3 linked regions of the Drosophila melanogaster genome follow. The protein of the gene in region 1 interacts with the protein of each later gene in a pairwise test. Each region holds a gene or a part of one and is shown in the gene's direction. Other genes may lie near its edges.

Region 1 (7,372 bases):
AGCACAGAGGAGGCACCCTTGCCTTCTGTTTTCGACTTGCCGAGCTTCATGAACAACATGCTGGGTCAGGGATCCTCAGCGAGGCAGTTGCTGCCCGCAAGTGCCACTTCGCCCAATCAGGAGAATGCGCATTTGCCTGGAGGAGATCAATCGACACATAAATCCGCGCCCATCGGCGGAGGCACCTCAACCAACGTGCTTGGCCGGATTCTGTTCGGCGACAAACAATCTGACCCCGAGGCTAGAGCAGCTTTCTATCGCGACATAATACGCAATCCCTTCAAGGCTCACAGTGGCGATGGCGACGTGGACTCCAGCAATGAGAACTCAAATTCCAATTCGCATTCCCTGACGCCAACTCCCACGCCAGAGCCGGGATCCCAATCCCCCAAGCCGGAGGACCACGATCAGGATATGCCGGAATTGCCTGTCATTGCACCAGCGTTGCCGCCGACAACTCCTTCGCTCTATGTACGTCGTTCCATGTATGACTTCGATCCCGTCAAAGAGCAAGAGCACGGGCGACAGGAGCTTCTTACGGAGGAGAAGGAACAGTACCAGCGTGATACCGACATGCGACTGCCGTTCGAGCCGATGAAACACTATATGCCTGCCACCGAGATCGACGCGGCGATCTTCTCGCACACTCCGATACGCTGGCAGCTGCATGAAGTAACCATAGAGGAGAGCAGCTATGCTCAGATTAGGGCCAGTGCTCTGCACAAGGAGCAGCGGGAGCTACGCGATCCTCGAATGCGTCGGATTCTCGGCCTTCCGGAAACGCCTGATAACAGTGGACCCTTGGGCTCCGTGCCCATTATGGGCCCAAGCTCCTTTTCGGTCGACAACATTGCGCGTTGCGCTACGACCATCGCTTCCCCAGATTTGGAGACCGCCGTTCGTGATTCCACCCCCAGTTCACCGCCCCCGTCCGTGGTAAACCTACCGTCAATGAGTGTGCCACCGCCGTCGATGAGGGTACCACCTCCGAACATACAGGTGGAAAAGCCAACTGTGCGGACAGATCCACGTCGCGATCCCAGGAGAGCCGTTCTGCAGGCTCCAACTAAAGGTGCTAGTACGGCAAACACCACAGCACCCAATGCCTCTGGTGGCAGCAAGCAAATCTCGGAAATCCGAAGCCTGCTGCAGGTTTCCAACTGGTACAACAATCTCGGCACCAACAATAAGATTATGGTGAACCAACAGCTCGCCCTGGTCTTTACCGAGCTCAAGAAGTTCCATCAGCTGCCGAATGATGCTCCGAAAATTTTCGATGTCAGCTTTATAGTGAACAACACAACGTTGCAGCAGATCTTTGCCAAGCTCTTTATCTTTGTAGATGACAATGGCGAGGTGGTGCAGATTCCCGAGGAGCCCAACGGTAATGGTGCTGCTCTTGGTGGCGGCGGAGATTCTGGAGGCGGAGTAGGAGGAGGAGGAGGAGGAGGAGGAGTAGTGCTTCCCAATCTATCGCAACCCCCACCAAATCTGAGCCAAATGTTAAGGCTACCGCCACCGAACATACGAATGCTTCGCATGTCGGGAATGATGATGCAAATGGGCAACGTGGGACCCCCTTTCAATCAGCCACCGCCACGCGGAGGATTGATGGGAATGCCTCCGAATGGCAATGGATTAAACCAGGGCGTTGGCAATCTGGGAGGACTTGGCCAGTTGGGGATAAACCAAGGAGGAGGACCTGTGCCCAATGGCAATCCCTTCAACCCATTTGGTGGGAACAATGGGGGAGGAGCTGGCGTCATGAACAACATGAATTCAATGGGCAACATGGGCATGGGCTTCAATAACTTCAACAATAATGGCGGCAGAGGAGGGCACTTTCCGGGCGGAGGATCAGGCGGAAACGGCAACGGAAACAATCGCAACCAGCGAGGCGGCAACCACCGAAACCGCAACATTTAAAGGCCCATGCGTTGCGAAAACACAAACGCAAAAGGAGCCCTTTTGCCCCAATGATCTTAAAGCGATGCTATGCCACATGACCCTTTCCCCCAACCATACCATACGTCGTGGAAAACTCGTGGTTTTCCGCGCACCTTCCCCGAAAATCCAGGCATGACTCCTTGTAAATGTATTTTATTCCCGAATCCCCATTATTGTCACTATTTTTTTCGCTAGGTGTAAGGATCTTATTAGCTATACGAGTAGTAAAGAGTAAATAACAAAACAATCCGGAGTAAGAACGAAAAGTGAAGCAGAATGGTATGCGCAGCCCTTTTTAACAAACTTTTTTAAATTATATAGGATAATTTGTTCAATAGCGCGAGTACTACATTGATTAACTAGACGTACGAACTCAAAATAAATGACATCTTTTAAGTAATGTGCCATGCTTAGGTTGCTGGGCCGTCCCGGAGGAGCAGAAAGAAATGAATAGCTCTTGAAAGCGTGCGAAACTACACCTAAACTCTTTAGAAAGCTTTTGCGTACTTATCGATGCTAAATTCTGAATTGGCTTCTCGACCATTTTTAATTTAGTTCCTACAAGGTATATGTTTACGTTTACGCTTAAATTATGACATCTTCTGCGAATTCGAACTAAAAATAGCAGTATAGCGCAATTCTACCTTATATACACACTTGCCATCGAATCTAATGTACTAATAATATAAACGGTCGAAGAAATACCGGTGGAGATTCCATATTCAATTTCTCGCCAGTGGCGTTTTGTTAGATTTCCCTATCAATTTCGTTGGTAAAAGAACGTTGACCGTTGAACGTTTTTGAATTCCTAAAAAAACCAGGGCTGCATTAGTCAGAGCACAGTTGGCTACCTGGCAGCCCCCGCCGATCCGGTCTGGCAACACTGGTTTAACAAAAACATACTACACAAATTACGTTGTTTTGCATAGCAGAACAAGCACATTGAAGCATTTATTGTTTTAAAAATCACTACGACCTGAATAAGGGCATGGATTAGCCATGTCAACCGACGCCGACCTAAACAAGTGCGTCAGTCCCATGTACCAGGTGTCAACCGCAGGCGACGGCCTCCAAGCAGAAGCCGCTGGAGATCTGGCGTTGGCCTCCATTGTCGCAGCTCCCTCCTATTCCTGCGAGCCACAGAAGGACTCCACCGACATGGACGTGGACATGGAGATAGACAACGATCTTACCACTAGCGAACGGATGCCAACGGTGGCCGAACGTTCAACGGTCAACGTTCTTTTACCAACGAAATTGATAGGGAAATCTAACAAAACGCCACTGGCGAGAAATTGAATATGGAATCTCCACCGGTATTTCTTCTTTCTATTTTGAATTCCTAAAAAAACCAGGGCTGCATTAGTCAGAGCACAGTTGGCTACCTGGCAGCCCCCGCCGATCCGGTCTGGCAACACTGGTTTAACAAAAACATACTACACAAATTACGTTGTTTTGCATAGCAGAACAAGCACATTGAAGCATTTATTGTTTTAAAAATCACTACGACCTGAATAAGGGCATGGATTAGCCATGTCAACCGACGCCGACCTAAACAAGTGCGTCAGTCCCATGTACCAGGTGTCAACCGCAGGCGACGGCCTCCAAGCAGAAGCCGCTGGAGATCTGGCGTTGGCCTCCATTGTCGCAGCTCCCTCCTATTCCTGCGAGCCACAGAAGGACTCCACCGACATGGACGTGGACATGGAGATAGACAACGATCTTACCACTAGCGAACGGATGCCAACGGTGGCCGAGCTGGAGCAGCCGATGGATTCCAAAACGAAACGGGAGAAAAAAGAGGAGGAGGAGCAGAAGGACGCGCAGGACCAGAAGCCACTGGAGGACGGCTCCGTGCAACCGCCCAGCAATCCGACAGCCATCAAAATCGAGGAGGAGGACAAGCCAGTGAAGCCGCCGCCGCAGCCGCAGGCTCAGGAGGAAGTCGCGCCCAGTTCGCCGGAGACAGCAGCGAATCCCAGCCAGAGAACTGCGGGCAAGATCACCCGTAGCAGTCTAAATGGCACAGCCAACCAGGCGCCCACCCGCTCCCCAACGATAATAAAGCGTCTGCGAAAGAGCACGCGCTTCAAGGCCAAGCAAACGGGCAAGGGCACTCCCGGAAGCGGCAGTAGCCAGTCAAATGGCCACAATAGCGGGGCGAATGGTTCCACCGGCAGCTCCGTGCACCTCGCGGGCGCTGGCGCCCATCCCAGTAATACCAACAAGCATGGGAAGTCCGGTCCAGCGGGCACAGGCGGGGCCACTGGAGCCCGTAATCGCCGCGCTCTCTTCAAGAAACCAGCACAGAAAACTCCCAAGGTGCAGGCGAGCACCAGGTTCGTGAGAAGCCTTTTCCACAAGGGCAGCTATATACAAATCGGGGATATCGTCAGCATTGTGGACAGCGAGCAGAATCTGTACTACGCCCAGATACGCGGTCTGCTTGTGGACGCCTATTGCGAGAAGTCCGCCTTCCTCACCTGGCTGATTCCCACGCAGGACAGTCCGGATCCCCAGGAGGGCTTCGATCCCCCTACCTACCTAATCGGTATGTCAGTCCTGTCCTCCTGCCTGCTACCCAAAGTTTTTTAAATTGTATTTTTGCTTAACTCCCGTGCCTGCAGGACCCGATGAGGAGCTGTCCCGGAAGCTCTGCTACCTAGAGTTCGTGATGCATGCTCCCAGCAACTACTACTTCGACCGGAGCACCCCGTTTCCCCTGCCGGACGTGGATGAGTACACTGCCCAGAGATCGGGCGGCTACATCTGGACGCGGCTGCCGATAGTCAAGCGGGAAAAGGGCAGTGGCCACAAAGCGGGCGGTGCCTCCTAGCAGAAGAGGTGGCTCAAGGGCAGGATGGCCGGAGCCCTGAATTTGAAAAATCTAATTTATTGCAACTTTTACTCTTCGTAAACGGGCTACTTGCCGAACAGAAAATAATTCAAAAAGTACTTGATGTACTGTAGTACCAACTGAACTCAATCAGCAATTAATGAATAAAATACAATTTTGTAATTATGGATAACGAAGCGTTTCCGACCTATAAAGTATACATGTATAAACATATGTTCTTGATCAGGATCAATAGCCGAGTCGAACTGGCCATGTCCGTCTGACCGTATGAACGCCTCAATCTCAGGAACTATAAAACAGACAGTCGCAGCGCAAGTTTGTTGACCCATGTGGCCCAGTTTAGTGTCGTCCAACGCTACGCGCGCACTTTTGAAAAATGTTTTGATATTTTTAAAATTTTGTTATAAGTCCTGTTTGAATTGCAAAAAACTAATTCCCACGCCCACAAACCGCCCAAAACTGCCACGCATATACTTTTGAAAAATGTTTTGATTTTTCTTCGATTTTACTTTTTTGCAATTTGATCGGTATACCATAAACAAAACATTAAAAATTTTGATTAAGATACCAAAAGGTTATCGACACGAATCGGAATCGTTATTGAATTAGACGAGAAAATAGTGGTGGAGAAACATCGATGTTTCCGATTTGGCGAAAAATATCAAAGTCTTAAACATATTCTTTAAACATGTTGTTCTAAACATCGATGTTTTAAATAAAAACAAAAAAATTATCTGTTTAATTTAAATATTATTTTCTTTTTTAATATTGACTAAATAAAAAAGGCAGTATTTTAACTAAACATAAACTTATTGTCGTCTACGTCTTCATCCCTCCTTATTCAGGAGTTAAAAACTTAAATTTCAGATATTTATCCACGTCTTTCAGGACATCAGCCAACACCACCAGCAAGTCACACTAAATTTGCGATATGTTATTAATAATTCTATTAAAAAATATGGAACTTACAATTTATACTTACAATATATACACATATCTTCTCCGATGTGCAGTAAATACCATCGATACCATCGACGCCATCGATGTTGGCATCGATGTTTCGCCACCTTTACGAGAAAAAGCGGCGGTCACACTGCTTGAGCCTCACTGCGAGTGGTTTTCTATTAAAACGAAAAGGATAGGGACAGAAAAGCCAAAACTACGTTAGTTGTGAAAATTGCATTTGTGTTGCGAGAGTTTTGTCAGGATAAATAGGTGTATTTCCACCATGGAAGTCGACGAGGATGGATACGAGGTTCCCTCCAGCAGCAGCAAGGGCGATAAGAAGCGCTTTGAGGTGAAGAAGGTAAGTGGTCAGCAAAAAAGCAGGGTCATTGTCAATGAATGTACTGATGGTAACACTTCATCCTTTCCGCTTCGCCGAAAACAGTGGAACGCCGTGGCTCTGTGGGCCTGGGGTAAGTAGTAATGCGAATTGTAGTGCTCCGAGTCGGGGGATTAACCGCATTCCATTTCGATGCAGACATCGTGGTGGACAACTGCGCCATCTGCCGCAACCACATCATGGACTTGTGCATCGAGTGTCAGGCGAACCAGGCGTCCGCCACTAGCGAGGAGTGCACCGTGGCCTGGGGCGTCTGCAACCACGCCTTCCATTTCCACTGCATCTCTCGCTGGCTAAAGACGCGCCAGGTATGCCCACTGGACAACCGCGAGTGGGATTTCCAGAAGTACGGCCACTAAAATCTACAAAACCCCCAAGACCCACCAGATGGAGGGAGCAGCACTTCCCGCAAGCTAGATGATGGAGGCCTGCTTCATCTGGACATTTGAATACCTTTTTAGATCTTAAGCTAGTGGGGCGATTCGAGTGAACTGGTAGCCTTTAGGAGCACAGTTACCGATTTCCGAGACTCCCCGGGAAGCGCACCTTTTTGTAACGCGTTAAATAAAAGCTGTAGAAGATGGAGAAGACTAGACGGATGTTTCTACCTTTCACCCTTTGGAGTCTATATTCACTGTGACGATGGCATCTTACCGCGAAATCCACTAGCTAGTCGTGCCTAAATTTTCAGAGTATATAACTCATGACTGGCAAAAAATATGATTGGGTCATTGGGTTCCATAAATGTAGCTCTGCTTAGTTATCCTTGGATGGCATTTGAAGAGGATCTGGCTAGTTCAAACTAGTTTAGTTTTGCTTAACTATATGCGTCATGACCAGCTCCAGATCAGGTTGTTCAGATATATGAAAGTAGTTTCGTAAAAACAAATCAAAATCAGTCGATGCAAAGAAAGAGCTGCGTTTGTAAAAACTAAATGTTCTTTTTAGTTTATTATGAATGTTTTGCGGCCGCGGCAGCTTAGAAAATAATACACATTAGTTACAGATATGAATAAAGTATATGGTATATATCAAATATGATTAATGTTTAATTGCATAAGCTACTAACTAAACTTATAGGTAAACAAAAAATAATTATGTCGTTAAAAAATCATCGAATTTGCTTCGTGTGTGTGTGTGGTTGTGATGGTTTAGTTGTAGTTTTCTATCTGTCGCCTTTTAAAAACCAAATTTCACAGAGAACAAAATAAACAATAAGCTGG
Region 2 (6,673 bases), on another chromosome or scaffold:
AACAGAATTTGCGGCTGCAGTTGTGCAATTTGCTCGCTGCCTGCTGTGATTTTTCCCATTGTCCTGGGCAATCCTGGGGTGGCTTGCCCGCTGATTCTCGACGTCCTTGTCCATCAAATTGAGCGTCACTTAAGTATTCAAGTGCCTGTATGTGTATCTCCCACGACCAGAGCCCCAGCCTGACTTGTTTTCTGCGCCTTCAGATACTTCAAAGATTTAATAATCACATAAGAAGTGAAGCTATTAAACCTGCCATCCCTCGCCATTCTCGAACTTCTTACGCGGCCTCAAGTGTTTGCCTTTGCGATCCAGCAGGTGCCACCGACCCTCAGATGCCGTCCACCGATGCAGGATGCGACAGGATGCGCCATCTCAAGCGCAAATTAGAGGGGATCCCCTTCGTAAGATGTACACTTGTCGAAGGACATAACCACTTTCTTAAATTAGTAGTTGTTGGAAATGTCGTACAGGTGCTGAAATATTTCGATATATACAGATAATGATAATATTAATAAACAAAATAATAATTAAATAATAATTAGATGCTGCCATAGCCATTTTGATTTACTTGAATATCAAATGAAGATATCTTATGACCTCTTTTTGTTCCCAGTGCATAATGAAGGCGGACCATCGTCGGTGGCTAGCAACTGTGTCCTTTGTTTGAGCCAAAAGTGGCGATTGTCCTTGCCGAATCCTTGCAGTCAAAGCAATTCAAGTGTCAAATCTTTTATTTGCCTTTTGCAGATTTCGCAATAAAGATTTGTATTGTCAAAGTCTGGGTTCAGCCAAGCCAGAGACCAATCCCGAATCGGTATCCGCAGTCCTTACCCCTCCTGCCCACTGAGCGCTCCGTTTCATCCGCTTGGCATATCCTTTGCCGGCTTGCTTGTGTGCAATAAATTTGCTGACAAAAGAGGGATTATTGCTGGATCATGCCGCTGTTGCTGCAGCGCGGGATGAGGACGCAGGATATTCATGTAGATATATATAGCCCGGAGATGGAGCTGGCGGTGAGGCTGAGCAGGATGTGCTCCTGGTGGCTGGTTCCTGTCAGCGTGCATTCCTCGGCGTTATTGTTTGGCCATAAGTTAATTGTTCCCCTGCGAAAGCTTTAATGCACCGCATCCTTACGCTCAACTGGCCGCCCGAGTCCTTCGTCCTTCATCCGGACTCCTGCCGTGCTAAGGCGGCGATTAACCGTAGTCTGACAGGGAACATGGATACGGCTGTGACCACGGATTGGCCCAGGATAGTGGCTGTTGGAATCGTTTAATTGCCATGGAAACTATTGAGCAGGCGGATAAGTAATGAAAAGTGGATTGAAAGGGCAAATATTTTCGATATACTAGATGCAACTCGCGGGGGATAAAGTGGGCTAATGTTTTTGAGGATGACTGGTAGCTATAGATAGATTATCCTCTATGCATGGTGAGCTATATTGTTGTTAACCATTCTACCGATACAGTTACACATATATTAATGCTGACTCTAGTCGGAATTAATTACCAATTGTTGTCATTACAGTGTACACATGCAATTAATACTCAATAGTTTGAAACACATATTCCTTTTCGATTTCCAGCATTTTCCAGTAATTGGGTACGTTTTTGCTTGATTTACCTGTTTATAAAGTTCCGAAATAGTTTAAGCGTTAGCTTCGAAAAACTTGATTACATTCTGTGTCCAACCAATTTCATTTGGCTGCCATGAAATGTTCTGTTTGCTCATAAAAAGACAAGGATAAGCCTCAATAAATTTTCCGCCTCGAAATTGGGGAGCAGGCAGAGCAGAAACGACCCCATGTAAGTATTGTATATACACCCTTCTATTTATGCCCCCTGATAATACCAACACTACTAAGCGGGATAAAGATACATACCGATGGCCGATGCCACGCCCCTAAAAATCTGGCCAAAAAATCATTGATTTGTAAGTGTAACAATGGGTAAAAGGTGGGCGGGCGTGGGGGAATTGGCAAATGGGAATTTTGGGGGTGGCAAAGCTAAAATAGAATAATGAAAACGATGCCAAGAGTGAAAGAAGCGACATCAATATGGTTCTGAATTCGAAGATGGCGGCCCTTATTGTATTCGTGTCTGTTTCCATGCATCTGTGTGTGTGAGTGAGTGTTTGGTTGTGTGTGGGTAACTTCCGCAAAACTGGAAAACTAATTTGAACAAAGTACAACAAATAAAAGTGACTACTGAATGTTTAATTTGAAAAGGGAAGGCTCCAAACACTGAATGGCGAACAACAACAATGGCTACAACAACAATGTCTAACAACTGGAGAACAAAAACAGCGAAAATGAAAAAGAGAAATAGTACAAAACTCACTTGGATACAAGTACAAATGCAGCAAACACATGTACGTCCAACCCCCTCCCGTCCCACCCACTCTACTGCTCTCTCTCTCTCACTCTAGTAGCCCCCATTGTGCTCGGAGGATGTTGGTGAAAATGGTGCATTTGATTCCATCTCACTTCCACACCCAAATAAAATATACAGAAAAAAAACCAATATTATCTATATTAGATGTATTGTATATTGTATGTATTGTTTTAAAATTATATTTTATTTCGGTTTTTTCGCATTGCTAAAATGACATAACTGTTCTATGCATTTTTTTTTTTTTTAAATGTATTTAATAATAATACATTGTATTATATACATATTTCAGTTAATCGTTCTTAGAATAACCAACAAAATATATCCTATGAAAATAAATACAATTCTACTTATCTAACTGCAAAGAAAAGTCCCTATAACTTCGTTACTTAACTTAAGTAAGATTTGTGGAATTTGGACTTTACATAATTAAACACATAATTAGATTCTTTTCTTTTTTTTCTTTCTGTGCATAGGGACAGAGGGCTGGGAATGAGATTGCGAGCCCGAGAGAAACCAAGAAACGTCGACATACGGTTAGAAAAACATTCGCACATAAAAATGCCAACATTTGAAGCATAACATTTGGGGCAGAGGAGCAGAGTGGTGGTTGGCAGGGCGAGTGCGAGGACGAGGGAGGGCCGCAGGGGAAAAGGACGCCTGCCTCCATGTGGCTGACATAATGAAACATTATTAAGAGCCACGACGTCAAAGCGGCAAAAGGTATCTAAATTTGCGCAAAATGTTTATCCCCCCCACCGCCGCGTTCGTTGGCTTCTGCAGTCGCTGCCAATTTGCCGCCGCTTGGAGAGAGGAAAACACAAATATCGCATTTACAGCCAGGGCTCTCCACCATTTTGTGAGGACTTGCAGCGAGTGGGAGAGGGATGGCACGAGCTAGTTCGCATAGATTGGTTCGCAGGATATCAACCCATCCCCCGCTAGAAAGAGAGGCTTGGCCGGGCTCTCTTGCTCTCTCTCCCTCTGCTGCGATGCTGTCGGGGCGCAGCCAGGATGCTGCCAGGATGCCGTCAGGATGCTCTGCCCGCGCCAACGGCGACGTCGGCAGTAGAATCACAGTTATTCGAGATACGAAAACACAGCAACGGCGACACAAAAGCTCAGGGAAACGTCAGCGGCAGCGGCAATGGCAGCGGTTTTTCATAAATAAATGTTTGAGTTATGTAGAAAAACATTTTGGGCGAGAAGATTTTCGTTTTCGTTGCGATTCAGTTAACATTTGGCCAGCGGATTCCGCCTTCAACGGACGCGACGACGGACTAGGCGCTAGCCAACTTTCCACTTTCCACACCACTGCTGGCCATATGTACAGTTTATCCTAGCAGCTAAACCGGAAACGACGGTAACAGCGAACGGTTAACGGAAGCGGAAATAGAAAAGAAAATATCAAATTCCAAGTTGAATCGAAAAGCATATGCAAATGCCAAGTGAAGCAAGTGAAACGCCAAAACGAACACAGTTCCTGAGCAAAATAGTTAAATAACAGTGTTGCGTCCTCTAAATTTAGTGAGTCCAATTCGCGGACTCAAATAGACTACAGTGTATACCCGCTAAGACATGCACACCAGCACGGATCCCATGCACACATTGCACGACAGCGTCTCCCTCTCGCCGCCGCTCATCAAAAGCTCCAGAGGCGGCTCCTCCATCGGCAACGGAATCGGATGCAGTGCGTCCTCGCGCACTGCCGCCGCAGATGCCATGTCCATGGGCTGCGACGACAGCGACATCGAGCCGTCGTCCATGGGCGGAAGTGGTGCCGCCGGCGGCAACGGAGACGGCTCGGGATCTTCGGGTGGTCCCCTGGTAAAGCCACCATACTCCTACATAGCTCTAATCACCATGGCCATTCTTCAGTCACCGCACAAGAAGCTCACGCTCAGCGGGATCTGCGATTTCATCATGTCGCGGTGAGTTTGCCAGCAAAGTTAATATCCTTAAATGAAGAAGCAATAGTTTGATTTTTTCCAAGTTATCTTAAAACATCAGAAAAAGAGAATAAAAGTAGTAGTTTGTAAAGACGATAAAAATAAATAAATCCTATAAAATTTCAATTGAAAACATAGAAAAGAAGAGACATTCAGTGCTTTAATCGATTTCAAAAATTATAAATTTTAAAATGTGATATTTTATTTACTGATTGCAATGTAAGTGATCTAGATAAACAACCAAATTCTTTAAAAAAAATTCCTCGAAAAAATGTTAAATAACTTGTGCATTTTACTTGTAGCTTTCCATACTACAAGGACAAATTCCCCGCCTGGCAGAACTCCATCCGGCACAATCTCAGCCTGAACGACTGCTTCATAAAGGTGCCCCGCGAGCCGGGAAATCCCGGAAAGGGCAACTTCTGGACGCTGGACCCGCTGGCGGAGGACATGTTCGACAACGGCAGTTTCCTGCGCCGGCGGAAGCGCTACAAACGGGCGCCCACCATGCAACGCTTCTCGTTTCCGGCGGTCTTTGGCACGCTGTCTCCATTTTGGATACGCAAGCCCGTGCCCCTCGTGCCAGTGCATTTCAACGTGCCCAACTTCAATGGGAGCAGGGAGTTCGACGTGGTCCACAATCCGGCGGATGTCTTTGACTCAGCGCTGCGAGCGGACAAGAAGTTTAACTTCTTTGCGAATGCCGAAGCATCCTTCTACCAGGGAAGTCAGTCGGGGGACAAGTTCGACCGGCTGCCCTTCATGAATCGCGGTCGAGGAGCGGATGTCCTGGATGCACTACCGCACAGCAGTGGCTCCGGCGGAGGAGTGGGCGGGGGATCCGAGAGCAGCCGTGGCTCCAAGTACAAAAGCCCATACGCCTTCGATGTGGCGACTGTGGCCAGTGCTGCGGGCATTCCCGGCCACAGGGATTACGCAGAACGACTGTCCGCCGGCGGTGGTTACATGGATCTCAATGTGTACAATGACGATGCGGACACAGAGGCCGATGCGGAAGCCGAGGGAGATGACGACTCATGCGAGGACAAGATCGACGTGGAGAGCGGCAATGAGCAGGAGGACTCACATATCTCGGACTCGGTGGACAGCGCCTGTACAAATCGCCTGGATGCGCCGCCGGAAGCGTTGATCTTTGAGGCTTCTGCCGAGGCGTCCGATTCAAGTCCAAGGAGACGCTTCGATAGCGAGCCCCTGGTTCTGCGGACCAGCAAACAGAGCAGCGCCAAGGACTTTCGCATCGAGACGCTGATTGGCCACCACCTGCATCGCGGTGGCAGCCAGGAGGAGACCAGCGACTAGGCGGGATTCCCACTCGCTTGAACCAATTGGCTTGTGTACAGTCCATTGAACGGTGATTTCAGTTTCGATCTAAGCACGTTTTAACAGCCCACTAACACCACCACCAGCAATCCCCAGGAATCCAATCCGAGCAGCAAGTAGTGATCAGTAGGTGTATCCGTAGGATGTAGGAGCCAGCACACGAGTTTTTAAATGCGACCAAATCGAAGTCAACGCTATAGTTGCCAGTCCACTTACGTACTAAACATATATCTGCGCGTAATATCTATGTAAATCTGAAGCATCGCACGTCTATAGTATACTTTTAACACGAATTCTTGGGGTCTGGAGTCGGGATTTCAGGTTCTAGACCTATATCTACCATGCAAGTACTAATCATGTGTATGTGTGTGCGTGTGCGTCTGCGTGTAACTGTAACACATCCAAGCAAGAGGAACACTATTAACTATAAATTAGACTAAGATTTTTGCTGATGTTATTGAAAATTGAATAAACAACAACATAATAATAGTTTACACGGATACATGTTTGACTGGTAGGTACCGATATACGTGTTGTTACTACAGCTACTACAGCATGTTACTAATATGTTTGTAGTATACTAAATATTAATTTTTAATCCTATTGATACCTGTAATATTGTATTATTTTTATAATTATATTATTATATGTGGCCACTCTCTTCCTTGTAATAATATCCTTAAAGGGATCCCTCTTTTCGACGTTTTGTTACCTTTTGTTTGCAATAAAACACCCCGAGTTATTTGAATTTACCGCCCAGCAAACCTGTCCAGGTGTGGCACCCCTGCCTGGAAATCAGTTCAGCTTTAGCGCCTGCGCAGTGACCATCGCTCAGCTGATTTGGCGCAGGACGTAGTTGTGCCGCCATAGAACGCCGTGGAGTTCGGCGCTACCAAACGAAAGCTCCGCTCTCCCACGAGCGTCCCGTTGGCTTCCAGTGTTAAAACATGAAAAGCTGCGCCTGGCAGCGGGACAACAGTGTGCCGCCGAAGA
Region 3 (7,838 bases), on another chromosome or scaffold:
CTGTGTGGCCAATGTGGTGGCAGCCAGAAGGCAAACAACCGAGAAAGAGACCGCCGATCGCACCATGTGTCCGGATTCCTCCGCCAATTGGGACTGTTTGCGGAGCAGGCACGCCCACCAGAGGTGCCAGAAATAGACGGAATCTGGAGAGCTGCAAACTGCGGAGCAGAATGCTCAAAAAGGAGGATCTCCCCGTAACCCGTGACAGAAGTGCTCTACGTGCCACGCAGATCGGACGTATTCGACTCACAGATTGGTTTCGGTTCGGTGCGTTTCGATTTTAAGTGAGAAAACTGAGTGATTGGAATTTTATATCCAATTTGAAAATATTCGAAGTGATTCTTGTGATACCACCAACTTGTTTTTGAACAATGCCACGCAAGAAGCGCAGTTCCAGCCCCACGGAGTTCTTTGATGACGACTTCGATGAGGATGCCAGTTCTCAAAGTGAGTTCGATTTCAATTTATAGGTGATTTTGTACTTATATTAAAAAGATGTATTATAAACGCTTAAAAACGTTGACAATGTAAATATGTTTAGCTAGTTTTGTAAATTTATTATTTACTTTAAAGTAAAATTCAATTTCCTTAGAATTTTTTAAATCGAACTTTAGAATTTACCTTAAAAGGAATGTTAATTTAAAATGCGTTAAGCTCTAAATGAAAATATAATAATAATGATAAAAATTATAATAACAGAAAGCACAATAGATATAAATTGAGTTTAAAATTCATACTCCATATGCTTTTTGAACTTCATACTTTGCGAAGATATCTATAATGTAACTTAAAACTTTTGTGGATACCAATAAAACCTTTTGTTTCTAATTAATCTCTTGTTATTGGAGCTCCTTAAGATGTATCTACATTTCTGATTTTCCAGGCTCCCAACCGCCGGTGCAGCGAAATGCGGCAAATGCCCGGGAGCGGATGCGTATGCGGGTTTTATCCAGCGCCTACGGACGTTTGAAGACCAAGCTGCCCAACATTCCGCCGGACACGAAGCTCTCCAAGTTGGACACGTTGCGTTTGGCCACGCTCTACATCAAGCAGCTAATTACGGCTGTGGAGACAGGCAGCCACTCGCAGAACCACCCGCACAACCACAACCAGCACCACAGCCTCAACCACAGTCACTCGAGTACCACCAGTTCCGAAGGCCTGGACACAAGTCACATGGCAGATTCGTCCGGTGGAGGCAATTATAATTTCCACAACAACGGACACGGCATGGTAAGTGTCATGCAATTGCGATCCCCCTGCCCGAATATAAGTGATGTCACTGCCACCACTTAACGATGCACTGCACCCGCGGCTCGGGGGAACGGGAACGCATTAATGAGCCGGCCACTTCAGGTGGATCTCGTCAGTTAATGACAGGTGTCGCAGGGGATGCCCAGTGATATGCCCAAGATCAATGTTTATTCATGGATTTCAGTCTAATTGAGAAGTAATGTTCAGCCGATCGGGATTCCCATAAGTTTATGTCTTTTTATGGAAAGTTTGGTATTGGGAATGAAAATTTTTCTTTTATGCGTTTTCTTTGAAAAGCCATTAAGGAAATAAAGTAGGTAGATATTTGTAAATTTTGCTAGTTGAAATTAGCCTTTCGTAGAATTTTAACTTAGAGATCGTGGAAAGTTACACGGAAACCCAGGCTTCAGTGTTTAAAATTTAAAAAATTGATACTATTACAATTTAAACGTATACGCAATCTATTATTCTCATTTTTTTTTTAACAAGCAACTTAAGTATTTAGTAATACTACTCAACTTATAGGGGTAATTCAACGCAATTTTAGCGAAATATAGATCAAAAATCCAAAGGAATGTGGTGCAACATCTGCTTGGTGATGCGGACGCGATGCGGCGACAAGTATTTCCACCTTTTCTAGATGTGGAGGTGAACCACAAACGTAACCACATCCACATCCCATGACCGGAGTCAGCCATTCAGCCGGGCCCCCCACTAGAACACCGAAATCACATTTTGTGATTTCAGACTGCCTTGCTTTCCTGTAATCCGATACTTTTGTGAATTTCGAAAATATTAAATATGAGTGACAGGCTGTTGGTGGAGCGGGCAGGGAACGGAGATGGTAACGCAGACCTGCGGATCTGGATGGGGGGCACTAGTTAGTCTTTGCTTTTATTTTTTATTTTTAAAGATGCTCTTGATGCTTTGAAGCGACACAGTGAATGACATGCGAGGGAAAGTGTCATCCTCAGTAGTTTTCCCACTCGGATTATTGTAATTAAAATTTGTCTAACCGTGTTTATCCATCAGCCATTCCCGCTGGAGTTTACACAATCTATCACTCAAGATTCATGGCGTGCACAACTTATCTAAATAGATGCAATTGTTTACACACCGAATGCGTGAAAAATTCAGCAAATACGGCTCCGTCTTGTGCCCATATGGTGGCAAATCAGATCGGATCGGAGAGTCCCGACCCTATCCGAATTTATACCATCCACGCGCCCAAGATGATCTGTTGGGAACAACCCATTGGTTCGCTATTTGCTCGCTAGCCCTAGCATCCCTATATCCCATTTCCAATCCCTCATTGTATGGCATACAAATGAGTGTCTCTTGTCCGCAAGTGTTTGGCTGTTTATGTTTTTATAGATCCGTTAATGAGGCTGTTATTGTAGATCTAGACGTGGAGGCGGGGGTGGGCACTAAAAACAATCAAAGTTGCGTAAACAAACAATGGCGCTGTCTCGGGATGGGTTGTCGTCATATTGTTCCATATATAGCCCCTGCGGTTTCCACAACTCCTATGATTTATGCCTGTTTTATCCACACATTCCACATTATACTGTCTTGCAGAGCTGGCCCTTTGAGTTCCACCAGAGTAGCCGGAGTTTGGCATTTGCCCCATCATCATCAACCACCTCATCCGCCCGTATGGATTGGCAAACCCTGCATACGCAATCTTATCCGAAGACTACGCGAGGCGAAACCCATGTTTCGGCGGATCTAAGTTACCATCAGTTGCCGGAATCTCACAGTCACTGGTATCCGGCGGAAGTGCATCAAATGGAGCCAGCGGCCAGCTGTTCCTATGACTCTGGAATGGGGCAGCATCAGCGGGGCATAGCTATAGCCACTAGCCATGCCCATGGCATTTAAGCGGATATTATAAATAATGTTCTGACCTAAGCCAAATGAATTTACCACCTAGTAAGTGTATTAAATCGTGATTTAATTTTACGTGTTTCCGTATGTGCAAGCCTGAACCTATGCTATAAGGCCAAAGATTGGTGTTACCTCATGATCATTTAGCTAGCAAATATATCTATGTTTTTAATAAAATTGGAATTTTTGAATTTTTTTGAATTGGCGCCAAGATTATGGTGACTGTATCCCTGGAGTTGTCGAGTGCTGCCGTACTTGTTTGTATTTTGCAGCCCTGTTCAACAGCTGATTTCGTCACAATACAAACAAAGAGCTGCTAAAAACAAAATTAATCTATTAATTAAGGCGGAATTCAAATACCCTACTTTTTTTAAAACGGCTAATTTGAGACATTTTAAAGATGTTATTTATGCAGAAAGATGTAGTGAATTTGCATTATTCACTTGCAAACAAATTATACGAACAAAGAAGCTTATGAAAGCAATCTTATTTAAATTAGAAACAAACTGAAAGAAAACGCCCAAGTACTTTTTACATGCAGTGTATTTATTTTGTGTATTTACTCATAAATGTAGCCCAACAACAATGGCGTGAGAATAATGGTTGTGCTACAGACTATTTCAACACAAAAGCGAACTTATTACATGTGTATTTTCGCGGTTAAAGTTCACGTCGTTCGAGAGCTGGCATCGATGATTAGATTCGGAATAGCTGGATCAGATCAGCAGTCCATAATCTCAATCTCCTCCACTGGATTTCCTCCACCAGCACTTGAGTGACCGACTGACTGACCACTGAGCGCAATTCGCCTTTCCAGCAACAATCAGTCAGTACGCGATATTCAACGAAGACGGACGCTTTGCGGTGGCTCGTTAATCCATAACCTGTTTACGTGACTTGAATACTGTGCCGCATAGCAAAATGCCAGCCAAACCAGTGAATCCCGATCTCCAGAAGGAACGCAGCACGGCCACCTTCAATCCCCGGGAGTTCTCCGTTCTGTGGGCCGGCGGCGAGGAGCGATTCAAGGAGAAGAAGGCCCTGGGTGAGTTAGCTTAGAAGGGAAAAACACCGGATTTCAAGCTTCTCCGGTGACCCCGACAGACCTACATGTACATTCACATTAACCGGTCGCTCAGAGCTTTATCTGAGCTTGGCGCAATCGCGTTTCCCAACAGTGGATGCAAGAAATTGTGCCAAAAGCATGACTTGGCAATTAAGCTAGGCTTTAACGCATTTATAGCTAATCTGTAGGGTACAAACTCTGATGCTAGCCATGTCAGCCACTGATAAATTATCCAAAACATCCTGTCAACTTCTTTGTTTTGATACGCTTCTTCTCCGTCCATTCATTCATGCGATTTGTTGATTTTGCTGCACGCCGTGGCCCAAAGTTCATTAATTATGTATTCCGCATAAACAAGCCGCTACTAGTTAATCAGCACCTATTAGCCAGCTCATAAGTTATTAATCTTTGAACTTCGCGCGAATCGCGATCAATCCGACTACTTGTGTACTTTGAATGTTTGCAGCTACCCACCATCTATTTCCAGGTCCACTTGAAATTAGTTTAGCTGATAGGTTTATCTGACAGATTTGCACGGTCGCTCAGGGCATCATAAATGGACAATGCCCAGTAACTCCCGCGAATTAACGAAGAATACTTTCCACTCATGATTACGCTGCAAAATTCAACAATGCTTATCTAAATGACACCTCCTAAAATATTAAATCCCTTTCCTTATGGCTTCATTTACATTAAATTTCGTTTATGATTTTTCCAGAGAAATTGTTTTTGGAGGATCCAGCCCTTCAGGACGACTTGCCCATTTCCTATTTGTCACACAAGGAGCTCTATGAGCACAGCTTGCGCAAAGCCTGCATCATAGGAGAGAAGATCCGCAAGCTACGTGCTGATGGCGAGGATGGAGTGGATACTTACAAGTAAAGAAATCCTTATATTTAATGTACTTCAGGTTGTAATTTGTGTGCTTATAGTGCTCTGCTTGGTGGATCCTTGGGATCGGCTATTCTAAAGGAGGGCAATCCGCTTGCGCTGCACTACGTGATGTTCGTGCCCACCATCATGGGCCAGGGAACGATGGATCAGCAGGTGGAATGGCTGAGCAAGGCCTGGGACTGTGAAATCATTGGCACCTATGCCCAAACGGAACTGGGACACGGAACCTTCCTGCGCGGTCTGGAGACCAGGGCTGACTACGATGCCAGCACCCAGGAGTTTGTTATAAACACTCCATCACTCAGTGCATACAAGTGGTGGCCCGGTGGATGTGAGTTTTCTTGAACACTTAATATTTTGAAATTGTTATAAAATCTGGGACTTGCAGTGGGACACACTGCTAACCATGCGGTTGTGGTGGCACAACTCTACACCAAGGGCGAGTTCCGTGGTCTGGCTCCTTTTATTGTCCAATTGAGGGATTCCGATACTCACCGTCCCATGCCCGGCATCGACATTGGAGATATTGGTACCAAGCTGGGCATGAAGGGTGTCAACAATGGCTATTTGGGACTGAAGAACGTACGGGTGCCTTTAAACAACATGCTGATGAAGAACCAGCAAGTGCTGCCCGATGGCACATATGTGGCGCCGAAGAATAGCGTGCTTACCTACGGAACTATGGTACTATTACACATATTCACTATATCTTCACAGAGATTTTAACCATTTTTTCATTCAAGATGTTTGTGCGTTGTGCTCTTATCCGTGATACCGCTCAGAGCCTGGCAAAGGCATCCACTATTGCCACTAGGTATTCAGCTGTTCGCCGACAGAGTCCCATTGATCCCAATCAACCGGAGCCCCAAATCATGGACCATACCACGCAGCAGTTGAAGTTGTTCCCCCAGATAGCTAAAGCCATCGTTTTCAAAACGACGGGTGATGGCATCTGGAATATGTACAACGTGATATCTGGCGAGATTGAGCAGGGTAACTTGGATCGCCTGCCCGAAATGCATGCATTGTCCTGCTGCCTTAAGGCCATCTGTAGTGCCGATGCCGCCGCCGGCGTGGAAACGTGTCGTCTGTCATGTGGCGGACATGGCTACATGGACTGCTCCAACTTCCCCACGATATACGGCATGACCACGGCCGTTTGCACCTATGAGGGCGAGAACACAGTGATGCTGCTGCAGACTGCTCGCTATTTGGTGAAGGTTTATGGGCAGGCCTTGAATGGAGAGAAGCTGGTGCCAACGGTTTCGTACATCAGTGATGCAATAAACCAAACCAAGTTTGTTAACTTTGACGGATCATTGAGGTCTATTGTCAAGGCTTTCCAATTCGTTGCCGCCAAGTAAGTATTTACTAAAGAAAAAAAGGTAGAAGTACCAAGTATTTAAATTCATATTTTTATATCAGCAAAACCCGAATTGCCTATGAGCAGATTGAACTGCGCCGCAAGCAAGGTTATGGTACCGAGGTGGCAGCTAATCTATGTGGCACCTTCCTAACAGCAGCTGCAGATGTAAGTCGTAATGAAATATCTGTTATTCACTCAGTATCCTATATAATTTTGTACCACTTGTAGCTTCATGGACGCGCCTTCCTAGCGCAGACTGCCTATACGGAGCTTTTGGCCTTGTCGCGCGAGGTGTCCCCAGAACTAGCTGAAGTCCTAAAGGTGGTGCTGGAGCTGTATCTGGTAGACGCCTGCCTCAACCGCATTGGCGACTTCTTGCGGGTACGATTTTAAATTGATATTAGTTAAGAATATTTAATGTTATATGTAACTTTCAACAGTTCATTGATCTCACTGATCAAGATGTCACGAAACTGGAGGTTCGCCTGGAGAACTGCTTAAAACGATTCCGGCCGAATGCCGTCAGCTTGGTGGACAGCTTTGATCTTCACGATCGCGTGCTAGATTCCGCATTGGGTGCCTATGATGGAAATGTTTACGAACACATCTTCGAGTCTACGAAGAAGAACCCGTTGAACAAGGAGCCAGTCAACGGAGCATTCCACAAGTACTTGAAGCCATTCATGAAGGCTCACCTCTAGATTCATATCCTATTGCTCTGGAAGATTTTCACAAGTGTTATTATTGTAAATATACATTTGTTTCCATTGTTTTTGTATTATACAACTGTCTGCTTAGCAAATGGTCTTTAAGACAATTATGATGTCAGGGCTTGTGCAGTTGAAACTAGGCTGTAAAATTATACACAAATAAAATATTCAACTATATTTAAAGGCAGTATTTAGTGTGTGTTTGGGCTTAACTAAATCGCTTTATTAAAGTTTGTTTTCTGATGGTGTTGCAAGATAGAGAGTAGCTCACTTATTGACTTCGTACAATGATGAACGCACTTACGACGCACTTGCCTTCGAGTTACGTTGTGCGTAAAGACGTCTCAGTAATCGGTTGCCAGCCAGGAATGTGAATACTGCGATGGGAATCAGCAGGCGCAGTGTCTGGAACATGTTAAGCTGCAGCCAGAACACGAAGAACAGCACCAGAATGCCACCGAAACCCAGATGAAACCCGATCGTACTCGGTGCCAGCGTCAGGTTAGATACATTGATGCCCAGTTTTCCCCAAAAAACGAAAAGCAGCACAAGCGGGGTTATGCACAGTCCGGTGAAGATATCAGAAACAATGCGGGGCGGGCGCTTATCGGGCACTCGGAACTGATGGATGATTTCGGGCAGGGGACCAGAAGTGTTCTTA

What was found. Proteins that work in one complex are often made in the same cells at the same time.
Region 2: the proteins of CG13367 (region 1) and fd59A interact in a two-hybrid assay, tested with the Drosophila melanogaster proteins (one large-scale study listed by BioGRID).
Region 3: the proteins of CG13367 (region 1) and ACOX1 interact in a two-hybrid assay, tested with the Drosophila melanogaster proteins (one large-scale study listed by BioGRID).

What each region holds. Positions count from the first base shown.
Region 1 is NC_004354.4:641,416-648,787, forward strand, and holds CG13367 (uncharacterized protein), read left to right. Parts: upstream 1-3,345; 5' UTR 3,346-3,480; coding exon 3,481-4,498; intron 4,499-4,574; coding exon 4,575-4,783; 3' UTR 4,784-4,971; downstream 4,972-7,372. Other genes in the region: su(sable) (suppressor of sable), read left to right, coding at 1-1,926; Roc1a (regulator of cullins 1a), read left to right, coding at 6,033-6,222, 6,288-6,508.
Region 2 is NT_033778.4:22,864,534-22,871,206, forward strand, and holds fd59A (forkhead domain 59A), read left to right. Parts: upstream 1-3,625; 5' UTR 3,626-3,968; coding exon 3,969-4,321; intron 4,322-4,641; coding exon 4,642-5,659; 3' UTR 5,660-6,173; downstream 6,174-6,673. UniProt on the Drosophila melanogaster protein: Involved in development during embryogenesis.
Region 3 is NT_033778.4:17,757,204-17,765,041, forward strand, and holds ACOX1 (acyl-CoA oxidase 1), read left to right. Parts: upstream 1-3,736; 5' UTR 3,737-4,062; coding exon 4,063-4,186; intron 4,187-4,925; coding exon 4,926-5,085; intron 5,086-5,139; coding exon 5,140-5,432; intron 5,433-5,489; coding exon 5,490-5,785; intron 5,786-5,844; coding exon 5,845-6,461; intron 6,462-6,526; coding exon 6,527-6,632; intron 6,633-6,695; coding exon 6,696-6,848; intron 6,849-6,907; coding exon 6,908-7,168; 3' UTR 7,169-7,338; downstream 7,339-7,838. Other genes in the region: HLH54F, read left to right, coding at 372-447, 884-1,233, 2,833-3,135; OstDelta (oligosaccharide transferase delta subunit), read right to left, coding at 7,478-7,838. UniProt on the Drosophila melanogaster protein: Catalyzes the desaturation of acyl-CoAs to 2-trans-enoyl-CoAs. First enzyme of the fatty acid beta-oxidation pathway.